Linked DNA regions of Arabidopsis thaliana. The protein of the gene in region 2 purifies or fractionates together with the protein of the main gene of each other region. This does not show direct contact. Each region holds a gene or a part of one and is shown on either strand. Other genes may lie near its edges. The genes, in order: emb2734 and AT2G16960.

The links.
Region 1: the proteins of AT2G16960 (region 2) and emb2734 fractionate together in Arabidopsis thaliana (co-fractionation; one large-scale study listed by BioGRID). This does not show direct contact.

The regions. Positions count from the first base shown.
Region 1 is NC_003076.8:6,695,061-6,703,286, forward strand, and holds emb2734 (ARM repeat superfamily protein), read right to left. Parts: upstream 6,296-8,226; 5' UTR 6,188-6,295; coding exon 4,955-6,187; intron 4,800-4,954; coding exon 4,596-4,799; intron 4,520-4,595; coding exon 4,415-4,519; intron 4,302-4,414; coding exon 4,236-4,301; intron 4,152-4,235; coding exon 3,987-4,151; intron 3,894-3,986; coding exon 3,819-3,893; intron 3,729-3,818; coding exon 3,574-3,728; intron 3,364-3,573; coding exon 3,228-3,363; intron 3,146-3,227; coding exon 3,076-3,145; intron 2,989-3,075; coding exon 2,861-2,988; intron 2,773-2,860; coding exon 2,716-2,772; intron 2,386-2,715; coding exon 2,200-2,385; intron 2,130-2,199; coding exon 2,037-2,129; intron 1,801-2,036; coding exon 1,715-1,800; intron 1,628-1,714; coding exon 1,494-1,627; intron 1,409-1,493; coding exon 1,272-1,408; intron 1,179-1,271; coding exon 1,087-1,178; intron 998-1,086; coding exon 931-997; intron 833-930; coding exon 671-832; 3' UTR 114-670; and 1 more.
Region 2 is NC_003071.7:7,362,807-7,369,924, reverse strand, and holds AT2G16960 (ARM repeat superfamily protein), read right to left. Parts: upstream 5,243-7,118; coding exon 5,201-5,242; intron 5,122-5,200; coding exon of another isoform or gene 5,092-5,121; intron 4,884-5,091; coding exon of another isoform or gene 4,869-4,883; coding exon 4,773-4,868; intron 4,703-4,772; coding exon 4,595-4,702; coding exon of another isoform or gene 4,589-4,594; intron 4,506-4,588; coding exon 4,407-4,505; intron 4,325-4,406; coding exon 4,202-4,324; intron 3,580-4,201; coding exon 3,505-3,579; intron 3,413-3,504; coding exon 3,341-3,412; intron 3,235-3,340; coding exon 3,124-3,234; intron 2,894-3,123; coding exon 2,810-2,893; intron 2,696-2,809; coding exon 2,588-2,695; intron 2,436-2,587; coding exon 2,334-2,435; intron 2,216-2,333; coding exon 2,153-2,215; intron 2,077-2,152; coding exon 2,002-2,076; intron 1,916-2,001; coding exon 1,844-1,915; intron 1,764-1,843; coding exon 1,603-1,763; intron 1,512-1,602; coding exon 1,460-1,511; intron 1,378-1,459; coding exon 1,309-1,377; intron 1,214-1,308; coding exon 1,154-1,213; and 3 more. Other genes in the region: MEE15 (Major facilitator superfamily protein), read right to left, coding at 203-376.

The DNA.
Region 1 (8,226 bases), on a different chromosome or scaffold from region 2:
TAAATGAGAAATGTAATGGGTGGGTCCAAACATTTTGCAGTGACCATCTCGTGGCCGGCGGCCCGGCGCATCAATTTTTCCAGACAAAACTTAAAAAACATTTTATTGACATGCTTAGCTGCTGTCTGATAAATTTATCATATGACAACGATATAATAAAATTAAATAAAAAAGACATTTCTTTTATTAAGAAAAGGCCAAAGAAGAGTGTCCAAAAGAGTACAAATCAACAAAGGCAATGAGAGAAAAGAATCATTCTTCCAAAATTCCCAATTGCATACAAAAACAAAAATTCAAAATCAAATCTTTCTGTTTTGTTCCTTCTCGTATAAAGCACCAAAACTTCATCCCACTCTCAAACCCAAACCAACACCGACACCAACAGCAGACCTGTGTATTTGGGGAACCATACCCAATGACACATTTCACTAACAATTTCATCCTTCCCTCCTAATATACACTTCCTACCATAAAGATAGAAATTTTCATTTTGTAACTTCTGAAGGATGGACCGACCCATCATCATCCCTCCCAAAAGAATTAGATGAAAAATGCAAAAGAAGAAGAAACACTTTTGTAAACACATAAATGCAAAACTGACGACGCTTTGTGGTGAAAACAGAGCTCACAAAACTGTAAAAATAAACAGAGAGATCGGATTGGATTGAATTTAGGAGGAAAGCATGGATTGGAGAGCGAGCTGCTGTTCGGGTTTCAGCGTTGACCATGTTGAGGCCAACGCCGATGGTGGCAGTGTCTGTTGAAGTTGCCTTAATATATTTATCATACGACCTGCTGTCTCTTGTGTCACCACATCTTTCCCTGTAAGTACCTGGCCAACGATATACACATTGATTTTCTCTATGAGTAAGACAATAATGCAAAAGATCAAAGAATGAAAATTGTCTATGCAAAGCGTAACTAACAAACCTCGGCAAAAACTATTAAGATTTTCGGAAGATGCTGGTTATTGGGGCCTAAAAGGTCTACATCTTGCCTGCAAGTTTATCATCAATCAAAGCTGTTTTAGATAGTCATAAGGAATGAAAACGAAAGTAAAATTAGAATCTAAACGCAATTGCTTACCTTTCAACCATTGAGCAGAGCTGATCATGAACCACTTTGGCTTCAAGGACATCATTGCTTATAGGCAAACAGTTCAACCACGCAGGAAGTACCTAATAAAACCAAAACAAGGTAACTTGTGAATCATCAAAACCAACCACATGTATGGGTACGATGGCGAAACCAAAATAACTATTATAATCTACCTGAGAAGAATCAATACTATCACGGTGAAATTGGCAGATCTTTCCCACGGCTGATACAGCATTATCATATGCCATGGCATTTTCAGATTGCCGAGCATTTGGCAGCTGTATCACAACATTTAATCTTGACAGAGCCTCTGTTGACATAAAATCATGTGTTACTTAACTGTCAAGTATGGATCAAAGCCCAAAAACCTACCAGTGGGCAAAGGTATGTCATACCTCCAATAAGAGGCTTGAATACAGAGCCGCCAAACTCAGCACAAACGCCAAGCCCATAAACAGCAGCCTGTCGAACCTCTGGGCTCTCGTCATTGCAAGCTTCCAGTACAAATGGAAGATAGGTATCATAATATCTGCCAAACAAATATAAGGTGTCTTATCAGAACTCTAAAACTGGAAACCTACAAATGTAAAATGATCCAGTGGATGCGTATCCTTACTTAAAGGCAGCTTCACGGCATTGTTCTGCTACATCATCAAAAATGCATATAGCAATCCTTCTCTCTTCCGCTGTTTTATCTCTTCCCTGAATTCATCGAATACACATAAGGTGAACGAAGACTAATATTGTACCAGAGACATGGTAACAGCCACAGAATTTAGAAACTACATTCACCTGAACCAGAGTGCCATAATTTTCTACACTTTTTCACTAATACTATATCACTTCAGTTATGTACTTATATGTTAGGGAATCTACGAGGTTCTGTCAATAACAAAAACAATTCAAAATAAAAGACTTGGGTGATGATGGCCACATACCCACATAGGAGTTAAGTAAGAGGACAGTTCATCGAAGAAAGGTAGAAATGAGGCCTTGAATGTCTTAACCAATGTTCCCAATATTTCACCGACCTATTTCAAAAACAAAAATTAGAACATTGAAGATAGTATACTTTCAAAGGGTGAATCAGCGAAAACTGACTTGATCAAAAATTTCTTCCTCTTGCTCATTTTCCTCTTTAATAAGCTCTCCCTCTTCAGCGTCAAAGTCTTCAGCATGGGCCCTCTCTCCCCTCTCTCGCTTCCTACTAGAGCTTGCGGTCATAACTTGCTTTATCTCATCAACTATGGATCTAATTTTCCCTTCATCCAAAAGATTTCCAGAGATCTGGAAACAAAGGTTATAAGATAACATTTTCCATTGTAATGCTACAATTTACTCCAAGAGGGCACACAATAAAGACTTGTTCAACGTAACATCTCTATCACATACCCTAACCCTAGGAAAGGATGAAAATCTATGCTCAGAAGGAAAATTGACAAGTGACGAAGCAAAGAAAACAAAAAAGGCCACCATGTCTTCTTTAGAGGATTTCAACAACAAGAAACCAAATAGGTGACCTAATTAAGAAGAAAAAACAGCACGACTACCAAGGAAAATGCAGCATTCAAGAAGCACATAAAAAAGAAGTCCCAACATCTGGTAATGAAAATTTACCTGCAAGCATTCATTGATAGCTTCCAACATACTCACACAGATCTCTGTATCAGGTTCCTACATAAAATACAATCCTCCGCCCCATCAAAAAAAGTGAATCAAAGCCAAAAAGAGAAAAGTAAAAATGAACAGAACACACACTAACTTTATGCAAAGCTTCCAGCATGGCTGGAATAATGTAGTCAGAAAGCTGCTTCAAATATGATAGATCTCGCCCTTGAGATTCCCCTTTCTCTATTGCCAGCTTGGCTGAGCGCATTAGTTCCGGCATGGCTAGAAAGAAAAATTATCCAAATTCTTAGAAACTTGTGTTCTAATGATCAAAACAGTAGATTATAGATGATATATTTTCTGATATACCTGAAACAGCTGCTCTTCTAACTTCTTCGTGAAAATAGAATTTCAGTAAAGGAACCAATGTAGGTGCAACCTACAGTATAAAAATTTACTCTCCCGAACCCAACAACAATACCAGATATTGACACAATTTGGAGTTATTTAACATTACAAACCTGATCAATCCAAGGAAAAAATCCTTCTTTTAACTCATCAGCATAGCAACAAAGCATGTTACAAGCCGTGGCCTTTTCCTCTAGAACACTTGTTTTGATCCCTATTCTTTTGTCGCCCAGGATAATGGTCTCCATGCTGTATCAAGAGAGGGAAATAGCCCAGATTTATGCATGTTATTTATGAACATATCATATCATTATATGGACAGAATCTCAACATCGTTAAATATCTCAAGAAAAAAATGCAGGGCAGCTGCACCCCCAACAACACAGAGAAGAATTAATTTTCTATGCAAAGGCATAGAGATATCATAACAATCAGATAAGTGTCAAGAAGAATGGAAACCTTTCATCATCAGAATCCTCTGCTTCATCTTCTGAATCAGCAGATGTAATTGTTACATCTGGCTTAAGTTGAGCTGACTGAAGCAAAGGAGGCATCACAACCTTCATGTATGGGAGGAAATCTTGACCTAGACACTTGCAAAGCCTAGCCCATGCCTACGAGAGTGTAAGGTAAATGTAAGCAAGCGAACTTACCTCTCTATGTTTATAAATAACAGATAGACCTAGCATGTTGTAGGAAATCACCTGTAACATGTAACTTGTTATTGGATCGTCTGCCTCCATCTGAGAACCTTGCAATGACATTAGCACTTCCATGACCTGGCATGGATATGTGAAATATTTTCATGCGATGATGAATAGAACTACTGGATATAGATAGCATCATGATTTGACCCTCGCATATAAGCATACCTGTCTAGCATCTTCCTTGAATCTGTCCTTTCCAACTGCCATTCCAACAAGACTGATGCACTCCATGGATTTGGCACGAAGCATCCGCTTAGACTTGTCAGTTGCATTCATCAAAATAGTTTTGAGATAAGGCATGACAGTATCATAGTACTTTTGAAAGTGTTCCTACAAATTTAGATTATGTTAGACTTAGATCAAGAGTTGCATGTAGGGAAAACAATAGATGCAACACAACTTCTTTACAAATACCTGTGATGAATCAGCCACTGAAGCAAGAGCAGTTAAAGCTCCTTCTTGCACCATTTGTTTACCATTCTGTACGAAACACCATTATAATCCAAAGTTAATCATTTAAAATCAATAGAGTGCAAAATATTTGCTCTTTTTTAGCTATTTATCTTAAGAAATAATTTACACAATGGACTTACTTGTAGTAGCACAAGTAACTTGCTCACTACTCCGTCTAAATAAGGTGACAATATTTCAGGAGTACAATTTTCACTGAAGTTGAGTACTGCTGAAGCAGCATGAGCCTACATGAAAAGGTCACAAGGTACTGCTTTAGAAAGTGTTAGAAGATTATATTCACAGAGAAACAGGGGATCTTACCTGCACTCGTGGATTCTGGAAATCATCCATAGCAGCAGCAAGTGCGGGGAGCACTCTCTCATGATGTTGGTTTTGCAAATCTGGACCCAAATCTGTAGACAACTGTCCAATCGCATTTATAGCAGCCCACCTTACGCGAGGATGAGGACTTTGAAACTGGCTCAAAACCATTGACACCACTTGGTCTAGATTTTTTATCATCACCTACATCAAAGTTCAAGATATTCACTATCAGATTGAAAACCACAAAGATAAATCAACTCAGAATCAATCATTATTTAACATCCAATTGAAAGTAAAAACAATGAAACAATTAAGGAAAAAGTTCATTAAGACATGTTATTCACTAAAAATTATACCTTTGAACAACCTTCAGCAATCTGAGCAAGTGCAATCAAAGAAGCATGATGTTTCTGCCACTCAGAGGCAGCCAAGTAAGCAGAAAACTGCTGATATGCAACCGGAACAATGGTGTTTCCTCCCAGAGAAATTGCTAACCGATCCAAACACTCTTGACCCATGCTGTAGTTGCTTGTCTCGCCAGCATCTTCATCCTCAGTCTCAGCGCTGTACCAAGCAGGATCGTCCTCAATATCCTCGAGCATCTTCATAAGAACAGCAAACAACCTGTCAATAAACTGAGGAAGCTTCCTGACCATACCAGGGGCACGCTCACGCGCCTCAGCCAGAGTAACCAAAAACTCAATCGCAAGATGACGTGTACTCTCCTCGAGGGAATCAGCCTCTGCAATCTGAAGCATCGAACCAACTATGTCAACAAGTTGCCGTCTAAGGAACCGTGGCTCGGTACCAGCCAATTCAATCAAAAGCTCAAGTGCCTCCTGTGCAGTTGCTTCATTCCCATTGTTCAGAGATTCGGTCAACGTCCTGATCATCGCAGGCAAAACATCTTGGAATCTATCTCTCTCCGTTGAGTTGGCCAGACACTGAACGAAACTAATCACGGCGTTGAGAGCGGCGATTTTAACATCGGAGCTAGCAGAATTACTACTCAAGCACTGAAGAAACACGCCATGGAGTTCCTTGATGTGAGGGGTAAGAGTCTCCCCAACGTACTGCGACAATTGAGCCAAGATTAAAAACGCCGATTCCTGCAATTTAGGGGTAACAGAAGTAACACACTGGAAAACAAACGGAAGCAACTCCGGCCATCCATTCTCCGGTAAAATCCCGGATGCAAGTTCAGAGACTGTATCGCAAATCTTCTTAGAGATCGATTTAGCCTCCTCATGTTGAATACAATACAACATCGAAGATTTGAGGGAAGATTGAGTGGAGAGGGAGAGACGAGGCCATAGATAAGCATCGTCGCGTGTTAACAACTTCCGGAGAAGGACGGCGGCCATAGCACGACCTTCGGGATGAGGAGAAAGCTGAAGAAGATGAGCAAGCTTCAAAGAGAGGGTATCGGGATTGCTTTGTTTAGCGAGATTGAAAAGAGACTCGGCGGAGGAACGTTGCTCGTTGGAAGAAGACATGAGGTGAGAGATTAGCGTCTCGAAGGGCGCGGAATCGGAGCCGAGAACCATCGCGAGTTGCGCTTGCTGAAGCTGATTCGCCTCGGAAGCCATGGGGGATGGTGGCGGCGGGAAAAACTAGGGTTAAAAAGTGGCTAAAGCTAAGAGGAGGAATGAGGAAGGTCCGAAGGTAGCGAAGGAGGGATGAGGTTGTGAAGGGATAATTATATATTTTATTTTTATTTCCATTTATTTTCCAACTATTATGTATTCGTAATTTGGGGTGGTGTGGGGCCGCCGTGGTGTAAATTAAATTAAGGAAAAATAAAAATTAAAGCAAAGCAATGATAATGTCATTAGCTGTATTTTCAAGGGTGGATTGATAAATTGATCACCAATACGTGTTTCCTTTTTTTTTTATAAATTAAAGTTTCTATTATTTCCTAGGTATAACTATTTAAGAATATAAATTTTTGATTATTATCTTATATTATTTTCTTTATTAAAAAAGGTAAATAATAGGTGGCATTAGCTTATATATTTTTCTAATGACAGAATCTCATAATTTCACATACCTAGGGTATATATTAATATATTTATAAATAAGTACGTAAAAGTAAAAAATATACTATAGTTATAAATTATCGTAATATATTTAATACGCGGATTTAATATGAATATATGATTTATTAATATCTAATTTTTATATCAAAAATGTTATTGAATTAATGTATTTGAAACGAGTGAATAACGTATTGGTTAATATTGATTTAAAATTAGCGAATATATATAAACTAGATTTTAACCCGCGGTATACTGCAGAAACAATTTATTTTTTAAAGTTAGTATACATAAAAGTTTGCAAATTGTATATATCTATAAAATATTTTTATTTTATAATTATAATTGTTATTAAGTAACGTCCTGCCAAACCCGTCCCGCCAACCCGTCCCGTAAAAAAACCATTTATTTTATTAATATTGATCTTATTTATGATATGTTTATGAATTATTGTCTAAATATTTTGTAATTTTGTAGTAATTAAATGCTATCAAATATCTCTATGGTTTGATGATATTAAATATTTTGGAAGTTTTATTTTAGTAACTAATGGTGTAGTTAATGTTGAGTGATTTAAGAAAGATTGTTAAATGTCAAATATTTAATTCGAAGTTTTTATTCTAATTATCAAAAACAAACATTAAAATCTAGTGGCAACCATTGTAACTAAGTCCCAACTACACGATTTATTTCACAAAATGGCTGCAAAAATGTATATATAGATATATAATTTTTAAAACTATGTGAATTTTATATTTTTTGAAAAAACTCTTTATTATATACTTTCACACATTACTATTTTGTATTTAATATTAAGTAAAGAAAAAAAAGCATAATCCTATTAGGTCAGATTGGGTTGGCCTTGGGTACAATTACTAAATGGCCACATGCTTGTTTAGTAATGGAAAAGACATAGATGAAAGTGTGTTTCAAGATTTTTCCTTTGAATTTTGTGGAGGATTTGGAAAATAGAGATTGACCTTTGCTTTTATTTAATGATCAGTTTTATGGCATGAGAGTGTTGGAAAAAAAAACACTATATTTGATGGACAAGAATGAAAGTAAACAGAAAGACTGAACTACCTAAGACGTTCTGAACAAATCATGTAAAACTTTAATGGGCTAAGGCTAACATCCCAAGCTTTGGAACATACTACATACTACAACCTACCTAGGTCAACAAAGTATGAAAGTAATCAGAAATGGTCTTCACCTTCACCATCTTTTAGCGTTTTAAAGGATGAAAAGCGAGTTTATGAAATGGAATGGAACAAAAGCATATCTAAAATTAAGAATCATTGTAGGTAGAGGCCGAAACTCCTGCAATGACATAGTGATTCTTAGATGGTACTCGTAATTGGTTAACACCAATTTTGGAAACCGGTGCATTAGTGTTGGTACAAACCTAAACCCCTAATTCCGATTAAACCGTGAGTCGTCGTTCTCTGTTTCCTCCTCTTTTCAAATCCTTCTCCACCGGTCATCTCCTCTTGCAATCACTACGACTCCGTCTGTTTCCCGGACAACCGCAGCTCTCCTCTCATCCTATAAAGTGTTTCAGCTTCTATGTTTAAAATTCACACAGAGAAGCC
Region 2 (7,118 bases):
TAACATTTAATTTAGGTTATTTGAGTTTTATATATAATGATTTGAGTTCTCTGTTACTAATTTGAAAACATTGAAGAGTTTTGGGAGAATCAGTTATAACCAAAGGATTTGAAGAGACATTGACCCAAAAAAAAGAGCCATCAAAGAGTAAAAAGAAGACAGTAAACAATACATATATACAAATATAGGTAGAGGTGGATACCACTTGTTCTACTCCGGTGAGATAGACGGCGAGAGAACATGTTTCGTTTAGGCCGGAGCAAACCGCGGCGACGGTGACGTCAGTCATCACTGGCTTCACCAAGAACTCGGAGAATCCCGACAGGAAAACCGTTGTCAGCAAGTGTCTCAGCTCTCCAAGTCTATATTCCTCCATCTCTCTCTTCTCTCTCCTCTCCTAAACCACTTCTAATTCTTAATTATACGTTGTCTTGCAAATGTATCAATGTGTCTTCGTTAGGTTTCCATCCGATCCACGTGCTAATATTAATATATTGATTGGTCTTTGTGGTAAATCATATATTAATTCGTGAAAGATTATAAATAGTTAGGCTGAGTGTAACACCCTGGCGGCTGTATGGCCATTTTCTTTGTACAACGGAATTTAAATTAGTTTATCAACAACAAAGAAAAGTAAATGATTTTTATTTAAATGATGATCTATGGATTAATCATCAAAAGCATGTTGCTTATAATACTAAGTATAAATGTATTATACTGTTACAGAAAATAGCTCATAGCAGGTTTCTTTTTTATATTTTTTTCATAGCAGGTTTCACACAACTTGATTGGAAAAGTTATCATTGTTCCAATTTAGTTTGTGTATAAATCATGGATCCAAATCCAAATAATCAAATTTTGTTTATAAAAATAATGCAACTGAAACGTCTTTTGCAAAAACACTGAATATTGTTTGCAATGAGATCTCTCTCATTTGAGACTAATCGATTTACTATCAATGTCACACTTGATACCTCGCAGCAAGCCTTTCCTTAGCAAGAGGATCCAAAACAGAGAGACATTCTTCCCATGAGTTTTTTCCAAGCATCTGAACCCAAAAAGATAAAGTAAAAGACATTAACCATTTCTATTGTACACAAACAAGCGCGTTGGATGGATGGTTAAAACTGAACTTAAACTCAATAAATCTTACGTTTTTATAGCCTATCAGCACTTTGGAGAATTCGCTTTGGATGACCTTGTTTTCCATATCCTATGATAAAAATTCATTATTTATGTATCAACCAATTGTTCAAAGCTCAGTAAAAAAGTCTAATAGAGTTAGGATTTTCTTTTTTGTTCACTTACTTTCCAGCTTGCGATCGCTAAGCATATGAAAGCAACGGAGCTGACATATCTTGATGGATTCACCTTAACCTAATTTATGAAGAAACTTGAAAAATATCAAACGTTATTCAATGTTATATATTAACAAAGCAAAAAGTAAAGAGAGAAATACCATTTCACATAACCCTTGAAATGCATTTTCTTTTGTACTGTCATCATCTAACCTGAAAAGAAAGTACGATAAGAAATTGTTTTATAGAGCAGAGGTTGGAAGAGTATGTAAAGAATCCAAATCCAACAAAAAGGTTCACTAACGTTGCCAATCTCATGCACCAAGGCTTCATGAAGTTCTCAATGGATCGTGCACTGAGGTCTGGACGAATCCGTGCTAGTATCCCAACGGTAATTGCACTGTTCATAGCTAGTTCAATTGCATTGTATTCAACTAGTGTAGTTAAACTCTTCAACTCTAGTGTCTTATTCACACAAACAAAAAAATGAGGCATAATTAGACATGGCAAGTAAAATCTTTAACTTATAAGGCTGTTAGAGTCACCTCTCCGAGTTGAATAATCATGCCTAATGAATAGACAACATTGGTCACAATTGGTGAGACTTCTTGAGGATACTGAAACATTGAGTTCATATCATTCACGAGTTTGTTCTTTACCAGAAACTTCAACAATAAATAGAGAAATATCATTTTGGTTTTACCTTGACCGCTAATTCTCCTATTGCTTTACAAGCATTATTCGCAGCAGAAAGGTTTTCTCCGCTAAAATTTGCACTCTGTACAAAGCAGAGATACAATCAAACACAATAGAAAAAAAAATGTATAGTAGCATTATAATTTGGATATACCAACCAGTTGTTGGCTGGCGATTTCGAGGAACTCAAGCAGGCGGGGTTCTAGATAATCCGGGAGTACCTGTTAGTGTAGCCAAAAAATATTACCTTACATATAACGAGTAGCTCTCACTTTCCATGCTATTTAACAATTATGTTAAAGGTAAAGATTTTGGCAGATAAAAGAATATACAACTTACTTTTGTAAGATGACAAATAAGGGCAAAAGCACTTTCTCTAACATCTGGAGTTTCATCCATGAAACACTTAAGAAGCATATCCCTTAGATTACTTTGTGAAACCTGCATAAGAGCGATGATGTGAGTATCCATCCAGTTGTGACAATTGACTCGGTCGTATTATACAAACAACTTTGATATATTGAATTATTCACTGAGTGATAAGAACTTATGAGTAGAAAATCATGTGAACAAGACATCAAGAAAGGGAGTACCAGAGACTCTATCCCACTGACAAGCCCTTTAGAAAGTCCAGAAAAAAATTCAAGAGAACAAACGACGATATTTTGGTCGTATTGAACCCCGGCAAAATCATGATCAACCTAAAACAACACAAGCAAGCTATGATCAAACGAAAAACAGAAACGTGAAATAGTTATGTATAAGCCCTAATAAAATGAAGATTTGTTTCTAATGAAATGAATTCTGAATTGAACCTTAGCTAGCTGTTGTAGTTGAAGGATATCCATGCACCTCTCGAAAACATACCAAGAAAATGGAGCGAATCCTACTTCTAAAGCCTGAAACATGGAAACAAAACTAGTTGTAAATTGATAGTTCATGTTGCAAACATTTTAATATTTTGTTAAGATAAACTTGTCTAATATTCACATATCTCCCAATATTAGTAGCAATATCGGACTTCCAGAGTACCAAAATCTCAGTACCTTCACTTACTAGGATTATTTAAACTAATTACATTCGTGTAATATATGAAAAATCTTAAGGAGCTTGAAAAGTAGTAACATACCTTAGAAATGGATGTGAAGCACTTCAGCAATGGAATTACATCTTTATCTGAATTGGAAATTTGTTCCAACGTTGAAACCAGTGGGGGAATCAAAATCTTAATATAAGCACGCTGCATAACGGGTGAGTTTTAAGTAGGTAGAAAATATTTTAAGAACTATATATAAATTTAAATTCACAAGAAACAAATTAACCTTTCACAAACCTAATCATTATACCTTGTTCAGATTGATTCCAACTGAATCTGCTAGTGCTCTAATAGCATCAAGAAGAACTTTTAAGTTCCTCTTCTGAATATATAAAAATAGTGTGTGTGTTAGGTAGTCACAAATAAAAATTGTTTAATATGTCAATGTAGTCAACTACAAGAAGATTTAACGACCTGATACTTTCCAAAAGCGCGCATTAGCTGTTGTAATATTTTTTCCAGGTGTGGTACTAATTTGTCACCAGCATCCTACATGTTCACAAAAAAATCACTTTATGTCAACAATCATCTATATTATTAAAATAAAACTTGATTGGGGTAAGTGAAACTTAACTTTGGCTTCATGATGGAATTATCTTATTAGACTAAATAGGTCCAATTTCTATTCTTTTTCAAGGCATACTAATGATATGTGACAAATATTTAAATATTTACGTAAAATTAACAATTACAAAATAAAAATCTAGATATTACAGTAAATGGTTCGACGTATATATTATGATAGAGTATATTTTGTACCTATATATACATATACTATGGTAGACTATTCTAAAGAATAAGACACGGTTGGTTAGTTATTGCTACACGCTTTTGGATCTTATAAATAGTTTCTTCCTTTCCATTTTTAATCATAAGTGTTCCTAAACCGAAGTTCTCTAAATTTTACCAAGAATCTTTCAAGCATCTTTGTTCTTTCAAATTCTTCTTCAAGAGTAGAGGTTCTTTCAGTTTCTCTCAAGTTTTTCAGGTATGATGGTAATAAATAAGCTATTGCTAAACACTATATATATAAAAACAATTGTGTGGAAAAAACACTATAAAAGTTCTTTACACATGACATAATATACAACAATGCAAAGACAATAGTTACCTCTTCAAAAGTTGTCAAAGCCAAACATGCAGCTTCCTGGACCCAGATGTTCGAATCCAAAAGTTTGAAACGAAAACCATGAAGAACTTTTGTAAAGAGTTTACTATTCTCCAAATTACTTTCCTATAAAAAAAGTAAAGTATCGAATCATCTAAAGATTGTTTTAATAAGTTGAATAAAAAAAAATATCATGTTCAAATCATACCTCAAAAACATATGTGCCAAATTGATAAAGTGTCCAACACGTTATCCTTCGTACGAGAGGAGATTGATCATCTAAAAGACGACGAAGGATTGCTACAATCTGCAACAAGGCACTAGCATATTGATGAAGTTAATTCACGTAGAAAGAATAATGAATAGACAAAAGATCATAAACAAACTTTCCTCAGCCAAATGAGGGTAAAAAAAACTATTGCATCCTTCAGCAATGGCTCCAAAAGCAAACACTGCAGCTTCCCTCTCTTTCCAAGTCTCATCATCGAATTTTGATAGTTTTGCCTGCAGCTTGGAAGAACATGTTCTTAGCTAATTGTTTTAAGTTCCATAGACCGAGAGAAATAATATTTACCTCAATAAGAGGCATGAGTGTTAGAAGAATTTCATCTCCAAATACATTAGCGAGAATACCAATAAATTTTGCACTGCATGCTCTTAAATTCCACTCCTTATCATTTTGTGCCTAGAGATAGTCATTAAGAAATGATGTATATACTTAATATATTTATATTGTATAACTCAGACTATCATATACAACTTGTGTGCATATATCAAATGACCCTATTAATGGAAAACGAGATTTCAAATCATATAAGAATATTAAAAAAAAGTTAATGTGAATAAAAGTAATTTGTAAGAATAATTGAAGTCACAAGAACAAACAACTACACCTGATCGATGTCTGGTTGAGATTCAACCTCCTGCATAAATGAAATTCTTTCGTACGTTATATAATTTGAAAAAAGATGACAAAACATGTAATACCAAAGGAAAATAAACCTCTTCATTCAAAAGTGTCTCATCGTCATCTTCATAAGCCATATCTGAGAGCAACATCTAATAAATCCAAACCAAATTTTATTAAAATGTCAAACTACTAGAATGTGCCCAAAAAATAGTAGAAGAAAAAGAGAAGTATCATTTTACTGGAATCAGGCGTGGCAATAACTCCTTTAAGTCCTTTGGTTCCAGCTGAGCATCACAATATGCAGGCCTGGCAAACAATAGTATAGTTAAGCAATTTTACAAGCTAGAAAATAATTTGATTAAAAAAAAAACAGAACAACAGAAAAAAATCATTTACCAAAATTTACATGATGTAAGAGATACTTCTTCATTGAGCTTTTTTAAGACATATGCCTTATATGCCATGAAATTCTGGAGATCAACTGAAATAGACAAAATAAGGCCAGTTAACCAATTTTGGTCTACTAATGTTAAATTAAACAATCTTTAAGCATTAATAAATTGAAAAAATGTAAAGCTAACACCAAAATAACATGAAATATTTGAGTAAACACTATTACATAAACAAACTTGTATAAGATTTTACAAATTGAGAGGAAAATGAACGAAAAAGGAAAATATATTTACCCACAGTTGATACGAAAGGAGAGAAAGGGGGTGAAAGAAAGGAGAAAAAGGATGAAAGAGAGAGAAAGATACGGCTGACAGTGACAGGCGAATCAGAGCGAGAATCCCGAGGGAGAGAGGAGGCGGCGACTAATTTAAAGAGAAAGAAAAATAAAATGTAAATAGGGTTTAGTTTGTTAAGATTTATATTTTCCAAAAAAAAAAAATTAAAATGGTATGTTTATTAATAGATTAATTTTAATGGGTATGATAGTATTTTCTCAAAATAAAAAGACTTTCATGAAAAAACCTTCAACTATTGACTTATCTAATTTTAAGCCTCCAACTAAATTTTAAACCCTTAAGTAAGTTAGTTTAATAAAACAACTTCCCAAATGTCGGTTAATCCATTTTAAACCCTTTAGTTAAATTATCAATAAAAAATGTATCAAGATAAGAAAATAGTTTTTCTATAATTTTGCCTAAACATATATTGTTTAAACGATATTCTATTTTATGATGTTATTGTTTTGGTTTGTTAGAAAACAACATTTTTCTTACATAAAACATTGTGATGTTTGTTTATAGAACCCTAAATTTTCAAAATCTTTTATGTTTATTCAAAATCCTAAAATTGTGAAAAGTGTAAAGCTAGCGTCTCTCTTTCTCATGCTTCTCTTTTATCCATGTTTGTCTTTTTTTTCTTTGGGCAAAAGCTTGTTTTTCCATTCAATAACTCAAATGTAGTACAAGGTTTGGGAGAATACTATTCTCAATGTTTGATACAACAAGATTAAAAACAATAAAAGGAGCAAAAGGGTTGTAAGACGCAATGTCATATGCGAGAAGATGGTAGATCGGAGACACGACCATGGACAATCCGGGAAATGGAAGATTGGTCATTGTCAAAAGACATGATGACGTTGGAGAAAAAACCACAGCCTCGAGTCTCGCCGGCACAAGACACGCTACACAACATGGTGTTTAAGCAATTAACGAGTTCAAGAGATTTGTTTGTTTTGACTCCTTAAATTCCATGTTTGTTTTAACTCCTTAAATTCTACATAGAATTTTCAACTTTCATTATTTTAAGAAAACTCAGGGGTGATACTGATATGAATATATTAATTGATCCTTCTCAATTGATTCATCCAAAATTATTTTAAAACAAACATCGCTTTCTCGTATGTTCCAGAAAAAAAATATGCATCGTTTTTTAACAAACCAAAAATGTAAAGTATCAATTTAATGACATCCTTAGGATTTTGACGATAGTACATATAGATCGATATATGTTATTTTTATTTTGTTAACGGAACTTTACTATAGAAGTTTTTCAAATTTA